Macaca fascicularis: one gene and its partners. The protein of the gene in region 1 interacts with the protein of each later gene in a pairwise test. Links are inferred from orthologs where the notes say so. Each region holds a gene or a part of one and is shown in the gene's direction. Other genes may lie near its edges. The genes, in order: ANXA11, PLSCR1 and PDCD6.

Region 1 (6,257 bases):
AAAGTGTAGGTGCCATGGGAACAAGATGAGCAGGGTAAAGGGGTCAGGAGTGGGGGTGGGGTGATGGAGGGATAATGATTTTAAGTTGGCAGTAAGGTGGGTCTGGCTGAAAAGAGGATGTGTGAGCAAAGACCTGCAGCAGGGGAAGGAAGTGCTCTATGGATGTCTAGGGAATGCCAGTGCCCTGAGGTGCCAGGGGGCCTGAGGTGCTTGGGGACAGGGAGGAGAGGCCAGTGTGGCTAAAGTGGAAAGGCGAGGGGATGAGATGAGAAATGAAGTCTGGGGGTCCAGCTCTTGCAGGGTGTAGGAGGCTATTCATCCTAAGGATTTAGGCTTTTATTCTTGGTGAGTGCAGATTCACCTGAACATGCCTGCCAGAGGTGTCTGTGGGTAGCAGGCTGATGTGATGGCGGTGCCCCCAACCCTGAGTATGGGACCCACATGCCTTCTTGGGCAGTGAGCTGTTAACCTTCACCCAGGTGGTCTGGGATGGGAGGAGCAGCCATGTGGAGAGGGAAGGCATTTCCCCTGCAGAAGAGGGTGAGGATCTCTGGTTTGCATCCAGCCGCACTGTTTACTGGCTGTGTAGCTTTGAGCAAGTAAACTCATTCTGTGGTCTGTGAAATAGGTATAACGGTACTTCATGTTCCACAAGCGGAGACGCTGTGAGGACTGACTTGGCTTAGATATGAAAAAGCGTGGAGGGACAGAGTGCAATGGGGCCCGTTGGCCTCATGCTCTGCTTTGTGTCCTTGCAGGCGGCCAACATGTCTGGGACGTTTGGAGGAGCCAACGTGCCCAACCTGTACCCTGGGGCCCCTGGGGCTGGCTACCCACCAGTGCCCCCTGGGGGGTTCGGGCAGCCCCCCTCTGCCCAGCAGCCTGTTCCTCCCTATGGGATGTATCCACCCCCAGGAGGAAACCCATCCTCCGGGATGCCCTCATATCCGCCATACCCGGGGGCCCCTGTGCCGGGCCAGCCCATGCCACCCCCCGGACAACAGCCCCCAGGGGCCTACCCTGGGCAGCCACCAGTGACCTACCCCGGTCAGCCTCCAGTGCCACTCCCTGGGCAGCAGCAGCAGCCAGTGCCGAGCTACCCAGGATACCCAGGGTCTGGGACCGTCACCCCCGCTGTGCCTCCAACCCAGGTGAGTGTCAGCCCACTGCCTCCCTCGGCCCAGGCCTGGGCCCCAAAGACTGGAGACACATGGTCCAGTAGATGGGGAGACAGGGAAAGGCGCAGGCCTCCAGCTGCAGCTTCTTGTTTTAACAAAGAGTGTCGGCCAGGTACAGTGGCTGGTGCCTGTAATCCCAGCACTTTGGGAAGCTGAGGTGGGCAGATCGCTTGAGCCCAGGAGTTCAAGACCAATCTGGGCAAAATGGTGAAACCCTGTGTCTACTAAAAATAGAAAAAAAATAGCTAGGCATGGTGGTGTGCGCCTGTAGGCCCAGCTACTCAGGAGGCTGAGGTGGGAGGATCATCTGAGCCCAGGAGACAGAGGTTGCAGTGAGCCGGGATCATGCCACTGCACTCCAGCCTAGGCAACAGAGTAAGACCCTGTCTTTAAAACAAACAAACAAACAACAACAACAACAACGAGAAACAGAAAAACAAAGAGCGGCACCTTCTTGCAGACTCCCCACCTCTGGGTTGTGTTGCTTAAGGCCCAAGGGAGCTGCCCTGTTTCTCCCAGTGTGATGAGACACTCCACATGCGAGTTGGGTCAGAACGCTCCTGGCGAGTACTCCTTATTCCTCTGTGTCATTCACTGCCTGGGCTGTGTGTTTTGTAAGAACTGCCCAGGCCACCTGTCTTAAGCCTTTGTGCCCAACAGCATCTCCAGTCCTTGATATGCGCCCCCCACAGACGGGTTTTGGAGGATTCTTAAAATTCCCTTTGGGTAGGGAAAATGTTGGCAGTTCCTCCAGGGTTGATCTTGGCTCATTTTGGAGAACAGTTCATGTTTGCAGAGCCTAGAATTCGTTGTCATGGTTATATGGCCCAACCAGCCAGCACAGGGATATGGTATGTGCTTGATGACTATTTTTGGACAGAGGGTCTCCTTTCCTCCTTCCCTTCCATACGCACATGTTCCCCCACCCCTGTGCCATCCTCCAGCCTCTCTCCCTTATCTTTTCCCTGAGCTGCCCCCATAATTGTGTTATAACCAGTTTGTACCAGCTCCTAGGAAGACAATCCACTGGGAGACAGTATAACCTGGAAAGTTCAAATTTGCTGGGTTGTGCAGCTGTCAGGGTCTGGAGGAAGTCCGGCAGGTTTTAGTCTAGAGAACAGTGCCAGGGAACCAGTGCTAGATCAAGAGGTCGTCAGGCTGCCATGCACAGTTGTGGAGTCTGAATACCTGCATCTGCTGGAGGGTCCACATGGGCTAGCCAGCCCAGTTAGGAGTACCCACGTGTGCTCACATGCTGTGGAGACCAGTCATCTATGAGAGAGGCCACAGCCCCTGCTCCTGAGGCTTGCCCTTCATCGGGAGCCTGAGCCCCAGCCCTGGAGGACCTGGGCACTGGGCAGATTTACAGCGTCAGGTTTCAGCTATAGGTGGGCTCCCAGCCACTGGAGCCAGGAAAAAGCTTCCGTACTAGAACACAAGGCCAGATAACAGTCAAGTTAGGCAGACTTGGCGTAGAGTCCTCTGCATTGTTGACTGTGGGTTCCTTTAGATACTCCAACTCTTAGAGAAAGGGCTGTTCCCAGAGTCTGGGGTGGAGCAGTCTTGAATCTGGGGAAGGTGGCATACGTATCATCTTACCTGTGACTGTTTGTCCGAGTAGTTTGGAAGCCGAGGCACCATCGCTGATGCTCCTGGCTTTGACCCCCTGCGAGATGCCGAGGTCCTGCGGAAGGCCATGAAAGGCTTTGGTAAGAGACCCTGGGTGGCTCAAATCCTACCCCCTGCCTCCTATTCCCCAGGCAGTTTCACAGTGGCTCTGTGGGCTAGGGTAGCTAGGGGACGCAGACCTGGCCCCAGTGGTAATAAAAGAGAAGATGGATGTGGGATTGCGCCTGGCATGCCCAGAACAGTTGAGGCACCCAGGCCAGGGAAGTCTCAGCTGCAGAGCATCTCATAACCCCTGCCCGACCCACTCCTGCTGCCTCTTCCTCCAGGGACGGATGAGCAGGCTATCATTGACTGCCTGGGGAGTCGCTCCAACAAGCAGCGGCAGCAGATCCTCCTTTCCTTCAAGACAGCTTACGGCAAGGCAAGCTGCGGGGTGGGGGCGCGGGACAGCGAGGCGTGTCCTGAGCTCAGCACAGCCCTACTCACCCCTGCTTTTTCTTGGGTGGGTCCGGGTCTCCCGGATGGACAGTAAGGAGCAGGAGGGCATTTCCTTCTGCCCACCCAGCAGGTGACATCGTTGGGAGATGAAGGATGCCAGAGGGTGCCAAGGTTTGCTGAGAGGCTCCAGACATCTAGCCCTGGGTTCTAGCCCTTGCTCTGCCACATCTCACTAAGGTTGTGGCCACATCATTTTCCTTCCCCTGCCCTCTTCATGACCACCCTGGGGGGTTTAGCTGATGTAAGAACTTTGCAGGGAAAGGCTGTGAGCACTGCCCAAGTACGAGGGGCATGTATGAGCGCATTTTGAACTTCTGGGGTTTTGAATCTTAGAAAGGTAAAAATTGGGTAAATATTGATTAGATTCATGTTCTAGCCCAGTGCTTCTCACACTTCAATGTGTCACCGACCCTATGGGCATCTTGGTAAAATGTGGTCTCTGATTCGGGAGGTTTGGGGCAGGCCTGAGAGCAGGCTTTTCTCTCGGGCCCCTGGGGGATGTCCGTGCCGCTGCTCCTCGAATCTGGGATATGGCTCTTAGTAGTCACCTCCTGTGGATTTTTAAAATAGACTTTGTTTGTTTGTTTGTTTGTTTGAATATCCAATCAGGATTTGATCAAAGATCTGAAATCTGAACTGTCAGGAAACTTTGAGAAGACAATCTTGGCTCTGATGAAGACCCCAGTCCTCTTTGACGTATATGAGATAAAGGAAGCCATCAAGGTGTGTGTGTGTGTGTGTGTGTGTGTGTGTGTGTGTGTGTGTGTGTGTGTTTTCATGCATTCATGCATGTGGACACACAGCCCAGAAGGAGGCCTGGACAGTGTGCTGTGTTCTAGCCCACTCATTAGCTGCTGTTATCAGTATGGCTCCCAGGCCTTCCTGGGTTAGAGTCCACATGCTGTAGAAAAGGGAATTCCCTGTGATTTCCCCAAGAGGCGAGTGATGCACCCGTCATCATCAGGGAGCCTTAAGTCTCTCTCTATCTGGTCTCTCTCCATCTTAAAGAAATGGTGGAGCTAGGGTTTGAAGGTGGCAAGTCTGTGGTAAGCAGAGGGGTAGGAGGCCATGGTTGGTATCGTTCCCATTCTTTAGGACTCTGTTACTAGCAAATGACAGAAACACACTTCGGTTTAAGAAGAACAAAGGTGGAGAATCAGTTGTGTGGGTAAAGCCAAGCTGCCTGGCATGGAGAGGGCCAGGCCAGACGTCTCTCTAGTCTCTGCCTCTCCTGAGCGCCTGCTCTTCTGTCCGTTTCTGTGCTTCTCCTGCCATGGCTGCTTCATGCGGGGTTGGGGAGGGGTGCCTGTTGACCACTCTCCGCCTACCTATGAGACCCAGCTCCAGAAGAATCCAGCAGGATCTCCAAACAGGGGCAGGTTCTGACGGGTCCAACTTGGGCTCACTGTTTCCTCCAGTCCTGTGAGTTTTGACTGAGGGGCGGATCCTGTCCATTCTGTGCGGTCCCACAGCTCTGTGTGCACCCCACGGGCAAGGGCAGGCGGCGCAGTCCCGAAGCTCTGTGTGCACCCCGCGGGCGAAGGCAGGCAGCACAGTCCCGAAGCTCTGTGTGCACCCCGCGGGCGAGGGCAGGCAGCACAGTCCCGAAGCTCTGTGTGCACCCCGCGGGCGAGGGCAGGCAGCACAGTCCCGAAGCTCTGTGTGCACCCCGGGGGCGAGGGCAGGCAGCGCAGTCCCGAAGCTCTGTGTGCACCCCGCGGGCGAGGGCAGGCAGCGCAGTCGCGAAGTCCTGTGTGCACCCTGCCGGCTAGGGCAGGCAGCGCAGTCCCGCAGGCCTGTGTGTAACCCAACCATTTACTGTGTGGCCTTGGACCAGCCAGTACCCCTCTCTGATGCTCAGTTTTCTGATCCATGGGAGTGCCCCTTTGTGTGAACCCTACTCATCACCGCTGCCACTGTCAGTGTGCTTGCCCGGGCTGTGGAGAGGAGCTGACTTCCTTAAGCCTGGGAGTAGCTGGAGGGTGTGTCTCTGTGTCAGGGGCCTCTGTTGCTGGGGTTTGGCCCTGGGGTCCAGGCAGCAGCATGGCCCCACTCTCCTTCCCGGGTGCTGGTAAGGCTGCTGGAACAAGCGCATGGTTGGTTGTATTCTCTGCCCCTGCAGGGGGTTGGCACTGATGAAGCCTGCCTGATTGAGATCCTCGCTTCCCGCAGCAATGAGCACATCCGAGAATTAAACAGAGCCTACAAAGCAGGTGACACCACTCCCTCTGCCCTCTGCAGATCCCTGTGCTCTTGGGGCTATGGCCTCACTGTCTCCTAGGGCCTCTTACTCCTTCCTGGCCTTCTTATCAACCTATCTTCTGCCACCCCCAGCACACTGGGCTTTGACCCAACACCCAACCGTTCCTTCTGTGTATACATGGTGCAAATGACTAAAGTAAGGGAGCGCCAGGGGAAACCTGGATGTGGTTTGGGCCAAGGCTGACTAGAGCCCAGGTCAGCCTGGAGGTCGCAGGCTTGTATATCCCTGGAGGGCCATGTGGGCTGTTTGCTCTCTCGAGCCCGAGCCGAGACCTCTAGCCTTATTCTCCCCACTACAGTGTTTTGCAATGGGCAGCTCCATAAACAGAGCTACAGGGTGGACCTTCTTTGCTTCTCCCTTTCAGAATTCAAAAAGACCCTGGAAGAGGCCATTCGAAGCGACACATCAGGGCACTTCCAGCGGCTCCTCATCTCTCTCTCTCAGGTACTTTTCCCATGACAGGGCTCGGGGCCCCCAAGCCATGGAAGTCAAAGAGATGGGATCCCAGCAATGAGGAAAGGGAAAAGAAATGGGGAAGGAGTGGGCTTGACCATACACCTGCTTCCTTTCAGGGAAACCGTGATGAAAGCACAAATGTGGACATGTCCCTCGCCCAGAGAGATGCCCAGGTGAGTGTGATGGCCAAGCCCCTGGACTTCCTAAAGCAGGGTGTACCTCGCTTTCTTGCT
Region 2 (6,929 bases), on another chromosome or scaffold:
TCAAGGAGCTTTTCTCTTATATTTTCTTCCAGGAGTTTAATGGTTTGAGGTCTTACATGTAGGTCTTTTATCCGTTTTGTTTTTGATTTGTTTGTGTGGTGTAAGAAAACAGTCCAATTTCATTGTTTTGTATGTGAAAATCCAGTCTTCCCAGCACCATTTATTCAAGAGACTATCCTTTCCTCATCGTGTTCTCTTGGGGCCCTTGTGAAAAATTCGTTGACCGTGTATGTTTGGATTTATTTCTGAGCTATTTTGTTCCATTGGTTTACCTGTCTGTTTTAATGTTAGTGCCATTCTGTTTTATATAAATTCGTAATATAATTTTTAATTAGGAAGTGTTATTTCTCTGACTTCAATTTTTTTTTCTCAGAATTGCTTTGGCTATTTGAGGTCCTTTGTGGTTTCATACAAATCTGCATTGAATCTATATATTACTTTGGGTAGCATGAAAATTTTAACAATATTATTTCTACATCAAACCAAAAATTTCTGCACGGCAAAGGAAACAATCAACAAAATGAAATGACAACCTATAGTTTGGAAAAAAGTATATCTGCATACCATGTTATCAGAGAAGGGTTTAGTTTCCGAGATTTATAAAGAACTTATACAACTCAATAGCAAGAAGACATAGCCCAATTTAAAAATGGGAAATGGACCTGAATAGACACTTCTTCAAAAATGACATAAAAATAGCCAACAGGTATATGAAAATGTGCCCAACATCACTATTCATCAGAAAAATGCAAATCAAAATCACTATGAGATACTATGTCATACCTATTAGGATTGTTATTATCAAAAAGACAAGAGATAACAAGTGTCGGCAAGGGTGTAGAGAAAAGAGAATCCTTGTACACAGTTGGTGGGAATGTAGGCTGGTACAGCCATTATGGAAAACAGTATGGAGGTTCCTACAGAAATTAAAAATAGAACTACCATATGACCCAGAAATCCCTCTTCTGGGTATATACCAAAAGAAAATGAAATCACCATCTCCTGAAGATAGCTGCACTCCCATGTTCATTGTAGCATTATTCAGAATAGTCAAGATAATAGAAATAATCTAGGTGTCCACCAATGGACAAATGTATAAAGAAAGATACATATATTCCATTGTGTGTGTATACACACACACAGACACACACACGATGGAATATTACTCAGCCTTATAAAAGAAGGAAATTCTGCCAGGTGCTATCACATGGATATACCTGGAAGGCATTATGCTAAATGAAATAAACCAGACACAGAAAGAAAAATTTTGTACAATCTCATTTACATGAAATTAACAAAAGGTCAAATATATACAGCAGTGGTTTATAGCAGGGGTCTGCAAGCCCCAGGCCACAGACCTGCACATGTGAGGGATCTAGGTGCATATTCCTTATGAGAATCTAATGCCTGGTTATCTTAGGTGGAGCTCAGACAGTGATGCTAGTACTGGGCAGCAGCTGCAAATACAAATTAACATTAGCAGAGAGTTTTGACTGCACAGAGACCATAATAAATACATTGATTGCAGACTCATATCAAAACCCTATCAGTGAGGAGCAAGTGACAAGTGACAATTAAGCTGTGTCCGGAGGCAGGCTTTATAGTGGAAAATTGATGTACTTCAATTGTACAGCTGCATCTGGTGGCAGGCTTTCAGTCAGAATCCAACACTTATTTTAGTCTGTGCATGGCTCACCCATTATTTTACCACTTCCATCCGCACCTCTTTCCCACACTGTGCACTTGTCTTAGTCACAGTTTTGCTAAGCCCACAAGCTAAGCCTAGCCTAGCCAAAGTGAGTGAAAAACAAACATTACTGGACAGCTTCTTTGAAAATGGGGAAAACCCAATGATGAGACAACAGAAGACTCTAAAACTGCTAAAAAAAATAAAGCCACATTTAAAGGAAAATGCCAAGAGTCCTACTTAAATTACAGGTTCACTGCAACAGGTGGTTCACATTCTCCAACCCTGCTTTGTATAATATGTGATGATCGACTATGCAATGAAGCCTCGAAACCTGCAAAACTGCTTTGCCACATGGAGACCAAGCACCCTGCGTTAAAAGACAAGCCTTTGGAGTTTTTGTTTTGTTTTGTTAAAACAAACAAACAAACAAACAAACAAACAAAAAAACAGAAACCATGAAAACATGAACACAAAGAACACATAGAAGCAATTATTGAAGGCCACCATGTCATCAAATGTGTCTGCACTGACAGCATCATTATATATTACAATGTAACAATAATAGAAATAAAGTGCACAATACATACAATATGTTTGAATCATCCTGAAACCGTCTGCCACTCGACCCTGGTCCATGGAAAAATCCTCTTCCGTGAAACTGGTCCCTGGTGCCAAAAAGGTTGGGGACCACCGGTTTATCCAGGGTCATCCAGGTTGGAGTAGGGTCAGGAGATATGGGGAAATTTAGGCCAAAGAATTCAAAGTTACAAACATGTAGGATGAACAAATGGGAAGACCTAATGTACAACATGAGGGCTATAGTTAATGATCGTGGTATTCAGGATTTATGCTAAATGAGTAAATTAGAGCTGCTCTTGCCCCAAGGGGGGAAATGTGTAATTATAGGAGTTGATGGATATGTCATACACATAACTTAAATACAGACAATAAAAACTATTTTAGTTTAAAAAGGAACAATATTTATTAAAAAATAAGGTGAGCTCTTAAAAACATTTAAATAACTGCCTAAAAAAATAAAAAATAATATCACATAATTTAATAGAAGGAAAGAAAGAGCAAGACAGCAAGAAAGAAAAGGCACCATAAAAAAAAACAATTTTGACCACTCCTCATTTGTAGTCTAAGCTGCCTCTGCTTCCTTGCGTTGAAAAGCCACGGGCTTCCGAGGGATGGAGGTCAAAGTCAGAGTAAAGAAAGTTCCCGGGGGAGGCCACTCCCCAGCTGATGACTTTCCAGTTCCAGTTAGTGACAGAGTCCCAGTTCCTCTCCTTAACCACCGGTCAAAAGTCTCTGGAGTCTCTCCAATGAGCAAGAAAGCAAGTCGGGGGTAGGGGAGGGGCCTCACACCTGGTGGTGGGTGCAGTCCCTCCTCCAGCTTCTTCATCCTGCAATAGTCCCGCGGGTCCCCCGGCGCGAACGCGGGAACCAGGAAAAGGAAACCGCGTTGTGTACGTAAGATCCAGGAAACGAAACCAGTAGCCGCGGCTGTTGGCGCAAGGGTTACTCGCAGACCCTGTTCCGGCTGATTTCCGAGAAGGTTGCGCAGTAGCCGTTCCTTGCAGTCTAGAGGCGCAGGAGAGGAAGCCACCGCCTGACCCCGGCTCTCTAGACCTCGGCTCTCTCGGGAGCGGAAACAGCGGCAGCCACAGGTGCGCGAGCGGCTTTCTCTGCCGCCTCCCCGGGGCTCGGGCGCGAGAACTGCGCGGAGCCTGCGCTGGGGCCAGGGCCGGGATCAGGTGTGGGGGCCAACTTACGGGGAACGGGCGCGAGGGCCAGCCGGTTGTGTTTGCTGCTCTGGGGGTGGAGGATGTGGGGTGAAGGCTGGGGCCAGAAATGCAAGAGACCTCTGAAAGGGACCCTGTAAGTGGAGCAGATGCACGGCAAGGGGCCCCAGGCGGCCCAGCGGCACCTGGGCTCACCCAGAATCATTCGAATGAAAAGGGGTGTCCTGCCTGAAAACGCCTCGCGGGGCTCAGCTTCCCCTTAGCTACACTGCTCTACAGGCAGAGAGCGGCGCTGAATCCTGGGCAGAGACTGGGCTCGGGAGCATGTGCCAGCATAGTGGGGCTATTAGAAGGGACGGTTAATACAGCCTGCAAGCTGGCATTTATCAGTAAGTATTCACTGAAGTCCGCCTGGAGCCCACATCTATGCTAAACCCTCTACAATACTAGCTTGGAAAAGATAGCGGCGGTATCTGGCACGGTTCCTAAGACCATTAGCTCCAGTCAGGCTCCCCGACTTTAAATTTGGCCTCTACTGCTTCACATCTGTGGATTGTCAGCCACTTTCTTAATATATATTCTTTCCATTGCCTCATCTCTGAAATTGTGTAACTATTAAAAGAGCTACAGAGTATTATATGTGTTAATGTAAAGTTCTTAGAGCAGTGCCTGGCACTACAGAAAGTACTCAGTGAAAGTGAGCTTTTATTATTTTAAATATTTGACAAAGTTCCTGCTTCTCCAAGCTGACTCTCCGGTTCCCATGTGGTTTCATTCATGCACTGTTATTCCTGGAAGTCTTGGCATGGCCACTTCCCAGTTCCAGGAACAGGCAGTCGTTGTTTTTTTTCTGGCTTATCACATTGAGATACATGGTTACTACAAGTGACACTTAAACGTGTCAGGCAGTTTGGGGCCTCCTTTCTTGAACTTTTCCTAAGAGCAAACTTTTCCCTTAATGCCACCCGGTTTACAACCATAGTAGGGCTTTGAACAACGAGAAAATGCAGGGAAATGAAAGACATATAAAGGGAAATGAATGGATTTCTGCAGTTGGATAGCAAAGTGGCATGTGAAATAGCTGGTTTATAGATCAAACTGCCTTTAGATCTGTAAAGGAGCTTAGAGTACAGGTGGAGAGACATCAAATGTGTGTGAGCAGACCCTTATGTACCTCTCCGTCTTCATCTCTAAGAATGTCTCCCTCTTCTGCTCTGTAACCTCACTGGTCTTCCTTTCCTTGAATGAGGCATGTTCCTCCAGCTCAGGAATTCTATCTATGAAGTTCCCTGTCTCTATAATGCCCTCCAACACCCCACCCACCATACCTCCGTAGACTAGTTGATTTGAGATTTCCTTCAGCTCCCAGTCTGACTTTTCTTAAACCCCCTACCACTGTTTAAGTTAGTGTCCTGTAACCCTTTCTTGTAGCAACATTAATTTTATTGATAGCACTTAGAGTGTTTATAATAATCTATTACATTCTTAATTGTCTGTCTCCCTAGTGTCTAGGTATTGTGCTCTAGTGCCTGGTATAGTGCTTTGCATGCTCTATGCCTTCAATTAATTCCTTAAAAACCACACCAGCTTTATATTTAGTGAATATTTATATAGGAAGTATTTCTATATGTATATATGTGTATCTGTGTATATACACACTCTATAGCACTACCCTGAATAGTGCTAAATTAAAAAGCCAAAACACTTTTTAGTTAATCAGAACAGTTGCACTCTTCAGTTTTCCATATGTTCTTTTAATAAGTCATTAGAAAAAAATGATGTCTCCATATGTTGTCTGCTGCTGTAGCAGAATACCTGAGACTTGGTAATTTATAAAGGACAGAAATTTATTTCTTACAGTTCTGGAGACTAGGAAGTCCAACATAATCATGTGTTACTTAAAGACAGGAATACATTCTGAGAAATGCATCATGAGGCAATTTGGTGGTTGTGAGAACATCATAGAATTTACTTACACAATCCTGGATGGTATAGCCAGCCTTCTATTTAGGCTGGGGTGGTGGCGTGGGGGGTGTTGAGGAGAGTCAGATTGAGAGCTGAAGGAAGTCTCAAATCAATTAGTCTATAGACGTGTGTGTGTGTGTGTGTGTGTGTAGTGGTGGAGGGCATTATAGACAGAGGGAACTTCACAGGTAGAAGTCCTGGGCTGGGGGTGTGTGTGTGTGTGTGTGTGTGTGTGTGTGTGTGTAGTGGTGGAGGGCATTATAGACAGAGGGAACTTCACAGGTAGAAGTCCTGGGCTGGGGGGAACTTGGCTCATTCCAGCAAAGGAATGACCAGTGAGATGGCAGATAGCCTACTAGACCTAGACTGTGTGGAATAAGGTATTGCTCCTAGGCTAGAAACCTGTATAGCATGTTACTGTGCTGAATATGGTAGGCAAGTATAATACAATGTCAAGTATTTATGTATCTAAACATAGAAAGGGTACAGTAAAAATAATCTTATGGGACCATCATCATATATGTGATCTGTTGTTGTGGTGCATGACTCTATGGAGGAACCAGCATCTAGTGAGGGTCTTCTTACTGCATCATCCCATGGTGGAAAGTGGAAGGGCAAGACAGCAAGAGAGAATGGAACTTGACAAGACTACTCTGGCAATAATGAACCCACTCCCAAGATAACAACATTAATCTATTCATGAAGGTAGAGTGCCTATGAACTAATCATCTTTTATTAGGCCCCACCTCCCAACACAGTTGCATTGGAAATTAAGTTTCCAACACATGAACTTAGCACCTGACCTAGTTAAAGCTAAGTGGTACAAGAGGAAATTGAAATTCAAGCCTTTTCTGTCTTACATAAAAAAGATACCTTAAAAGAGTCTTTTAACAAATTTCACTGAAGGGTGTCAGTCTTCCTTTTTTCAGTGAATTAGAGACATCGATGCAAAGAATATGAATTATTGATCATCTTAATTCAGCTAGTTAGTGAACTGTATCACATTTATTAAAGTCACTTTTATTTCTATGGGTTTAGTTTCACCATTTATTAGGAGGAAAGGAAACAACTCAAATTTGTGAGGGAGCTCTGGGTTGTCAGGAAAGGCTTTTCAGAGCAGTAAAGCAATCAAATGACAGTAACTGATTCAATATTTGTTTCCTTTGTCTCTTTTTTTTACTTTTTAGTTTTGTAGAACACTTGATCACTGCCATCTCACTTGGTCCTAGTTGATGTATCATCTACATTTTTATTCAAGGTGTACTATAAAATGCTATAAAAGGCTATCCTAAACTGGTTTTAAGCATATTTATTTTGTTTGTTAAGCATAAAATACGCAAGAGGATTTTTATGGAGTGACTCCTTGTTACAAGGTACTTTGCGTTTATAATCAGCCTCAGTCCCCCCAGTTTCATTCCATAGCTTACAGGTATGATGTGCTGTATACTCAAAAGCCTCACCAGCTGCTTGCGCCACCCATTTGCTTAAATGCATCAGTTTTTTCTAAGCTTAACATTTACCAAAACCCG
Region 3 (6,257 bases), on another chromosome or scaffold:
CTGTCCCCTGTGCATTCCCAGTGATGACCTCTGTCCCCTGTGCACCCCAGTGATGACCTCTGTCCCCTGTGCACCCCAATGATGGCCTCTGTCCCCTGTGCACCCCAGTGATGGCCTCTGTCCCCTGTGCACCCCAGTGATGGCCTCTGTCCCCTGTGCACCCCAGTGATGGCCTCTGTCCCCTGTGCACCCCAGTGATGACCTCTGTCCCCTGTGCATTCCCAGACAGGAGTGTCCCTGTGGCCGTGTCCCAGCAGGCCGGGCTGTCTGTCCTCAGCAGGCCGGGCTCACCCGCGGTACAGGTGCAGGGAGTGAGGAGGTGGGAATAGTAGGGACCAGAAGAAGTGGCAGCTGTTCACAACTCTGCCATCTCTTTCTGAATGTAACGGGAGGTCCTGTCTTCTCAGCTTGCAGGGAAGGAGGGTCCGAAGCAACTCCACTGTTGCACGTTTAGGGACCCCTGAAGTTAAATGGCAGAACGCCCTGACCACTCTGGAAGGCACTGTGTTCATGTGTGTGTGCTTGACTCTTTATCCGTGAAGGGGCTGTTTGTGCAGGCGATTAACTGTGAGATTCAGACAGTAGGTGCACACATCCCTGCAGAGATTCCAGCAGGGCTGAAAACCAGTAAAAACAGATCGGCACCTGGATCTTGCCTCCTGAGTCAGTAAGGCTGCCACAGTCACGAAGGCAGTGGGATTTCGAGGGAGGCAAGGGAGGGAGGCAGGCGGGGCGTGCTCTCCAAGGTGCCGAACACACCTGCTGCCTCCACACGTCTTCAGAGCCCTCTCCCTGTGGGAGGCCTTTTTCAGGACAGGCTCGGTGAACTGGAAACGAAATCCTAGCCCTTGGTGGCCCTGCAGTGACTTGGACCTTTCCGAGGTCACCCTGCCACTGTGCCCGTCAGTCCCTCATGGCGGGTGGGGCACATCCCCCAGACACTCCCATTTCTTGACATTGACACTTTGTATAACTGGAAACCTTCTGTGAAATTTTAGTTTTCAAAGCATTGTCTGGTGACAAGCAACCCAGGGCGGTGAATCATTCAGAATTTTCTTATCTAGGTTAATAAACATAATAAAATCAATAAGGACTTTGAAAGTAACTCCACTGGGTTCACGAACTGAGCGTGGCCGCCCTGTGGGGTGGTGGTTGGTGAGTGCTTCCCTGGGGTGAGTAGTTAATTCACGAGAGTGACCGATGGCAACGTCCCACTCGCTCCTCCTTCCAGGGTCCTGGTCTCGAGGGGTCGCTCCATGCACTGCAGATGTGAGCTCATTACACAGCGACGTATTCGGGAAGCGTCTCAGTTCTGAGTGCCTTTGAGTGAATTTGCACTTCCGTTCGCACCCAGCCTTGCATCGTGTGTGTTAGAGGCTGTGGGCCTTGGGAGGGAGGGGTGGGCGTTGGCACATACCTCCCGTCTCTCCCAGCCCTCTCTGACTCCAACTTTCACTCTTCAAGGCTACCGGCTCTCTGACCAGTTCCACGACATCCTCATTCGAAAGTTCGACAGGCAGGGACGGGGGCAGATCGCCTTCGACGACTTCATCCAGGGCTGCATCGTCCTGCAGGTGACGGAGTGGCTTTGCCTGGGTTTGCTGTGGTGGTGGGAGGGGTTCGCTTGCCAGCGTGATGCACCTGACCTTCAATCCAAGGAGTCAGGCGTATGTAGAATTAGTTTTTGGAGCTTGTAAGACTGAGTCTCATCTTTGGAGAAGTAGCTGGTTAGTGGAAGTGTAGACAAACATGTTTTCCTCCCCTTGGAAATGGCATAGAGCAGCCCATCTGGAAGACGCTGTTTTTGCAGTATCCGGTGGGTTAGTTACACGTATGTTCTGGTGTTCTGATTTTTTTTTTTTTTTTTTTTTTTTTTGAGACCGAGTCTCGCTCTGTCACCCAGGCTATGGCACGATCCCGGCTCACTCTCACCTCTGCCTCCCGGGTTCAAGCGATTCTCCTGCCTCAGCCTCCCCAGTAGCTGGGATTACAGGTGACACCCAGCTAATTTTTGTATTTTTAGTAGAGATGGGGTTTTGCCATGTTGGCCAGGCTGATCTCAAACTCCTGACCTCAAATAATCCGCCCGCCTTAGCCTCCCAAAGTGCTGGGATTACAGGCATGAGCCCCTGTGCCTGGCCAATGATAGTGTATTTTTGCAAAAACTTTTATTCTGAGAAAAGGGACACGTTTTCTGTTGTGGTCATCCCTGTGTCCTGCCGTCGTTGTGTGTGAGGTCAGCTGTGGAGCCTGTGGGCACTCGGGCTGCCCTCGGTGGGGTCTCCGCGCTCTTCCTGTGCACACCAGTGTCTGCAGGAGCTTGTAATGCACCCTGACCTGCAAGGCAAGCTCTTTGGTGACGTCTTTCCTGCTGTGCTCTCTCTGAGACGCACGGAGATGGAGAGCAGGGCTCAGGGGACCCGCCTGGGAGCTCCACACAGACCCCTGCTGCTGTGTGCAGGTGGAGATCCCGGTCTCCACCCAGATTCCTCAAGGTCCTGCCTTGGTGGCCGCGCAGTTCCGTGAGAGAGAGGAACAGCATGGGGTTTTTAGAAATAATGGGGAAATTCGGAAACGTTCCCAAATTGTTTATTCTATGTAACAATTAAAATGCTAGATCTGTAAAAGTGAGTTTCCTCTGGTTTATGGATCCATCAGTCCCTGCTCTTCAGGGATTTGTTGGAGAACCAGGTCTGTGAACATGGAAGCCTCAAAACTCGACAGTGGGGGAGCCTTTCCTGCCCTGCCTCTTGGGGTTCCTGCCACGTTGGATGATATTTTCACAATGTTCTCTGAACACTTTAAAAAAGTGTAGGCCGGGCCTGGTGTCACATGCCTGTAGTCCCAGCTACTCAGGAGGCTGAGGCAGGAGAATCACTTGAGCCTAAGAGGTGGAGGTTGCAGTGAGCCAAGATCACACCACTGCACTCCAGCCTGGGTGACAGAGCCAGACACTGTCTCACAAAAAAAGAGGGAAAAGATGCAGTGTAAAATCTCGTTATGTACCGTGACTGAATTGCTGTAGGATTCAGATCTTCATTTGAGACTATGTTCTGTAAGTTAACGTTGATCTTGTGTGAGCTTTCGGTAGCTGGAGTAACACTGGCGGCCTCACAGTGACCTCTCCAGCGCCTTCCAAGGCACATCCGCAGCAAGGGTAGCTCCTCCTGGGGGGTGCTGCCTCCCCAAGGCCCCGGCTCCAGACCGCGTGGGGAGGGCCTGACAGCCAGTTCCCGGGCTCTCCCCACCCTTGGAGAGTGACCCTAAACACTAGACAGATGGGGAATGGGAAAGAAAAGAAAGCTGCAGACCACAAGTTAAAATTCCCTCAAAAATGTTTTGATTCATCTGCTTTTTCCAAAAGGATAAAGGCTTTTTGAAAATTATTTTTTAACAAATAATATGAACACTTTTAGAAACTCTAGAAAAACACAAAGGATTCAAAATAGAAAGAAAAATTACGGCCGGGCGCCGTGGCTCAAGCCTGTAATCCCAGCACTTTGGGAGGCCGAGACAGGCGGATCATGAGGTCAGGAGATCGAGACCATCCTGGCTAATACGGTGAAACCCCGTCGCTACTAAAAAATACAAAAAACTAGCCGGGCGAAGTGGCGGGTGCCTGTAGTCCCAGCTACTCGGGAGGCTGAGGCAGGAGAATGGCGTGAACCCGAGAGGAGGAGCTTGCAGTGAGCTGAGATCCGGCCACTGCACTCCAGCCTGGGTGACAGAGCAAGACTCCGTCTCAAAAAAAAAAAGAAAAATTACCCATTATTCTTCAAGCCAGCATCATCCATTGCAGGTGTTTTTGGAGTTTGGTGAGGCCGTAGCTGCTGCCAAGTCCAGGGGCCTGGTGGTGCTGTGGCGTTCCTGCAGGGTGGTTTTTTTTCCTTTGAGATGGAGTCTTGCTCTGTCACCCCAGCTGGAATGTGGTGGTGTAAACACAGCCCACTGCAGCCTCGACCCCAAGTCTCAAGCGATCCTTCCGCCTTGGCCTCCTGAGTAGCTGGGATCACAGGCGAGAGTCACCACACCCTGTCCACGTTCTGATATGCGAGGACTGCTGTTTTCTTCCCTTGTCACATTTTCTTCTTCTTCTTCTTTCTTTTTCCTTCTCCTTCCTTTTTTTTTTTTTTTTTTTGAGAGACCCTTGCTGTCTGTCACCCAGGCCTGAGTGTGGTGGTGTGAACACGGCTCACTGCAGCCTCAACCCCCAGGCTCAAGCGATCCTCACGCCTTGGCCTCCCAGAGTGCTGGGATCACAGACGAGAGTCACCATGCTGGCCTGAATCTTCATGATAGTTTACGGCTGCCCCAAGTCCATCATCTAGAAGTGGCACTTACTTAACCATCCCTGTTAGGAGGGTGTAGGCGGTCACCCTGTCTCTGCTGCTGATCTGGCCTGGACCCTCGGCTGTCAGAGGGAGGGGTGGGCGGGGCTGAAGGAGCCTGAAGCCCTCGTGATGTCACAAGATCCCCCGCTGTGTCCTGAGCTCCACATAGCCCAGGTGGCCCCACAGCAGAGGCGAGCCACTGGAGGGTGGAGGGCCTCCACGGGACGGTCTTCAGGGGCGAAGGAAGGGCCCAGGCCCCCAGGAGACTCAGGAGACCAGGGCCTGGGATCAGGGGCTCAGCCAGGGCTGGACGTAGTGGAGCCAGCCCTGCAGCCCTGTGTTCTTCCCACTCCCACTGTCCATGTGAACAGCTCCAGCCCCACCTGTGCCTGCCTGTGCTGGGCTTCATCAGGAGATGACCTGTGTGCTTCTGAAATTGGGTTCCTAATGACTTTGTCCCAGTGCACCTTGCTCCTTCCGTTCACTATCGAGATTTAAATGTGTGTTTTCTCCCCAGAGGTTGACGGATATATTCAGACGTTACGACACGGATCAGGATGGCTGGATTCAGGTGTCGTACGAACAGTACCTGTCCATGGTCTTCAGTATCGTATGACCCTGGCCTCTCGTGAAGAGCAGCACAACATGGCAAGAGCCGAAACGCCAAAGTTCCTGCCTGTGAGGGAATGGAACCCAGATGCAGTTAGATGCTGTTCTTCCTTTAGATTTTACCGTGTGGGGACCCAGCTGTACATATGTGGATAAGGTGATTAATGTTTTCCAACTATAATAGTAGCTGCATCATTATAATGCAGACATTGGATTTGGTGACTGTCTCATTGTGCCATGAGGTAAATGTAATAATGTTTGAGGCATTCTGCTTGCAAAGAAATCTATCATGTGCTTTTCTAGATGTCTCTGGTTCTATAGTGGAAATGCTTTTATTAGCCAATAGGAATTTTAAAATAATATGGAACTTGCACAAAAGGCTTTTCATGTGCCTTACTTTTTTAAAAAGGAGTTTATTGTATTCATTGGTATATGCGACGTAAGCAATAAAGGGAATGTTAGACCTGTGGTCTGCCTTCAGCTCTTCAAATCAAATAGGTCCAAGAACCAGGCCCCATGCCCTGGTCCTACAGACAGTCACTGCGTCAGATGTGCTGGCTCGTCTGGGACCTCCCAGGGTCCTGGGCACCTTCTGGGACATTGTCCAGCCCAGCGTGCACAGCTCTGCTTGTGAAAAGCCAGAGGGACTCTCACCCTCTGTTCAAGAGGCTACATTTCATAAAACTGCTCCGTGTGGATAAAGAAATCCAATTTGGCGTAGCAGGTTGCGCATTTCCATCATCAATGATTTAGCCACGCTGTCTCCGCACGTGGCCTGCAGCACATGGCCACCCAGCACATCCCCCTGCTCACCTCGGTCCACTGCCAGTGCTGCCCGGTCTCCCTCCCTGCCTCGCTGTGCAGCGCCGGGCCCCCCTGGGTTGACACTCCTGAGCCCCAGCCTCATTCTCTGGACGCTTCCCTTCTGCAGTGATGCGTCTGGTTTCGGGGCTGCAGCCTCTGCTCAGAACACCTGCCTTGACGCTGCTCGTTCCACACAGTTCTGCACGTCTTTTCTCTGTTTTGGTCTCTTGGGATCTGCTACCTGCTCAAATCCCTGCTTGGTGTGTTGAGGGGTGAGGGGCAGGGGGCGTGGTTTCCTGGAAAAAGCCCCAGTCTCTTAACACTGGGCAGGTGTGTGCTGTGTGTGTGGAGGGGTGGGGGGGCTGGGCTGCATCTGTGCTCCAGGTGAGATCTCCAACTGCCCACCTGCACTTGGCCTGGGGCCTCTGGATACGGATCCCTCTGGAGCAGGCGATCCCGGCTCCCTGGGTATGGGAGGAGGAGGGATGTGGGCTTGGGGGCCTGGCTGCTCCC

What was found.
Region 2: the proteins of ANXA11 (region 1) and PLSCR1 interact in a two-hybrid assay, tested with the Homo sapiens proteins (2 studies listed by BioGRID and IntAct). The two-hybrid records come from large-scale screens. The link is inferred for Macaca fascicularis from reciprocal best matches to the Homo sapiens genes ANXA11 and PLSCR1.
Region 3: the proteins of ANXA11 (region 1) and PDCD6 interact in binary tests that used the Homo sapiens proteins (3 or more experiments, as listed by UniProt). The link is inferred for Macaca fascicularis from reciprocal best matches to the Homo sapiens genes ANXA11 and PDCD6.

The regions. Positions count from the first base shown.
Region 1 is NC_088383.1:66,639,879-66,646,135, forward strand, and holds part of ANXA11 (annexin A11), read left to right. Parts: intron 1-758; coding exon 759-1,151; intron 1,152-2,799; coding exon 2,800-2,887; intron 2,888-3,133; coding exon 3,134-3,228; intron 3,229-3,914; coding exon 3,915-4,028; intron 4,029-5,427; coding exon 5,428-5,518; intron 5,519-5,932; coding exon 5,933-6,012; intron 6,013-6,140; coding exon 6,141-6,197; intron 6,198-6,257. UniProt on the Homo sapiens protein: Binds specifically to calcyclin in a calcium-dependent manner. Required for midbody formation and completion of the terminal phase of cytokinesis.
Region 2 is NC_088376.1:49,351,988-49,358,916, reverse strand, and holds the start of PLSCR1 (phospholipid scramblase 1), read left to right. Parts: upstream 1-3,219; 5' UTR 3,220-3,360; intron 3,361-6,929. UniProt on the Homo sapiens protein: Catalyzes calcium-induced ATP-independent rapid bidirectional and non-specific movement of phospholipids (lipid scrambling or lipid flip-flop) between the inner and outer leaflet of the plasma membrane resulting in collapse of the phospholipid asymmetry which leads to phosphatidylserine externalization on the cell surface.
Region 3 is NC_088380.1:624,220-630,476, forward strand, and holds the end of PDCD6 (programmed cell death protein 6), read left to right. Parts: intron 1-1,464; coding exon 1,465-1,574; intron 1,575-4,848; coding exon 4,849-4,947; 3' UTR 4,948-5,408; downstream 5,409-6,257. UniProt on the Homo sapiens protein: Calcium sensor that plays a key role in processes such as endoplasmic reticulum (ER)-Golgi vesicular transport, endosomal biogenesis or membrane repair.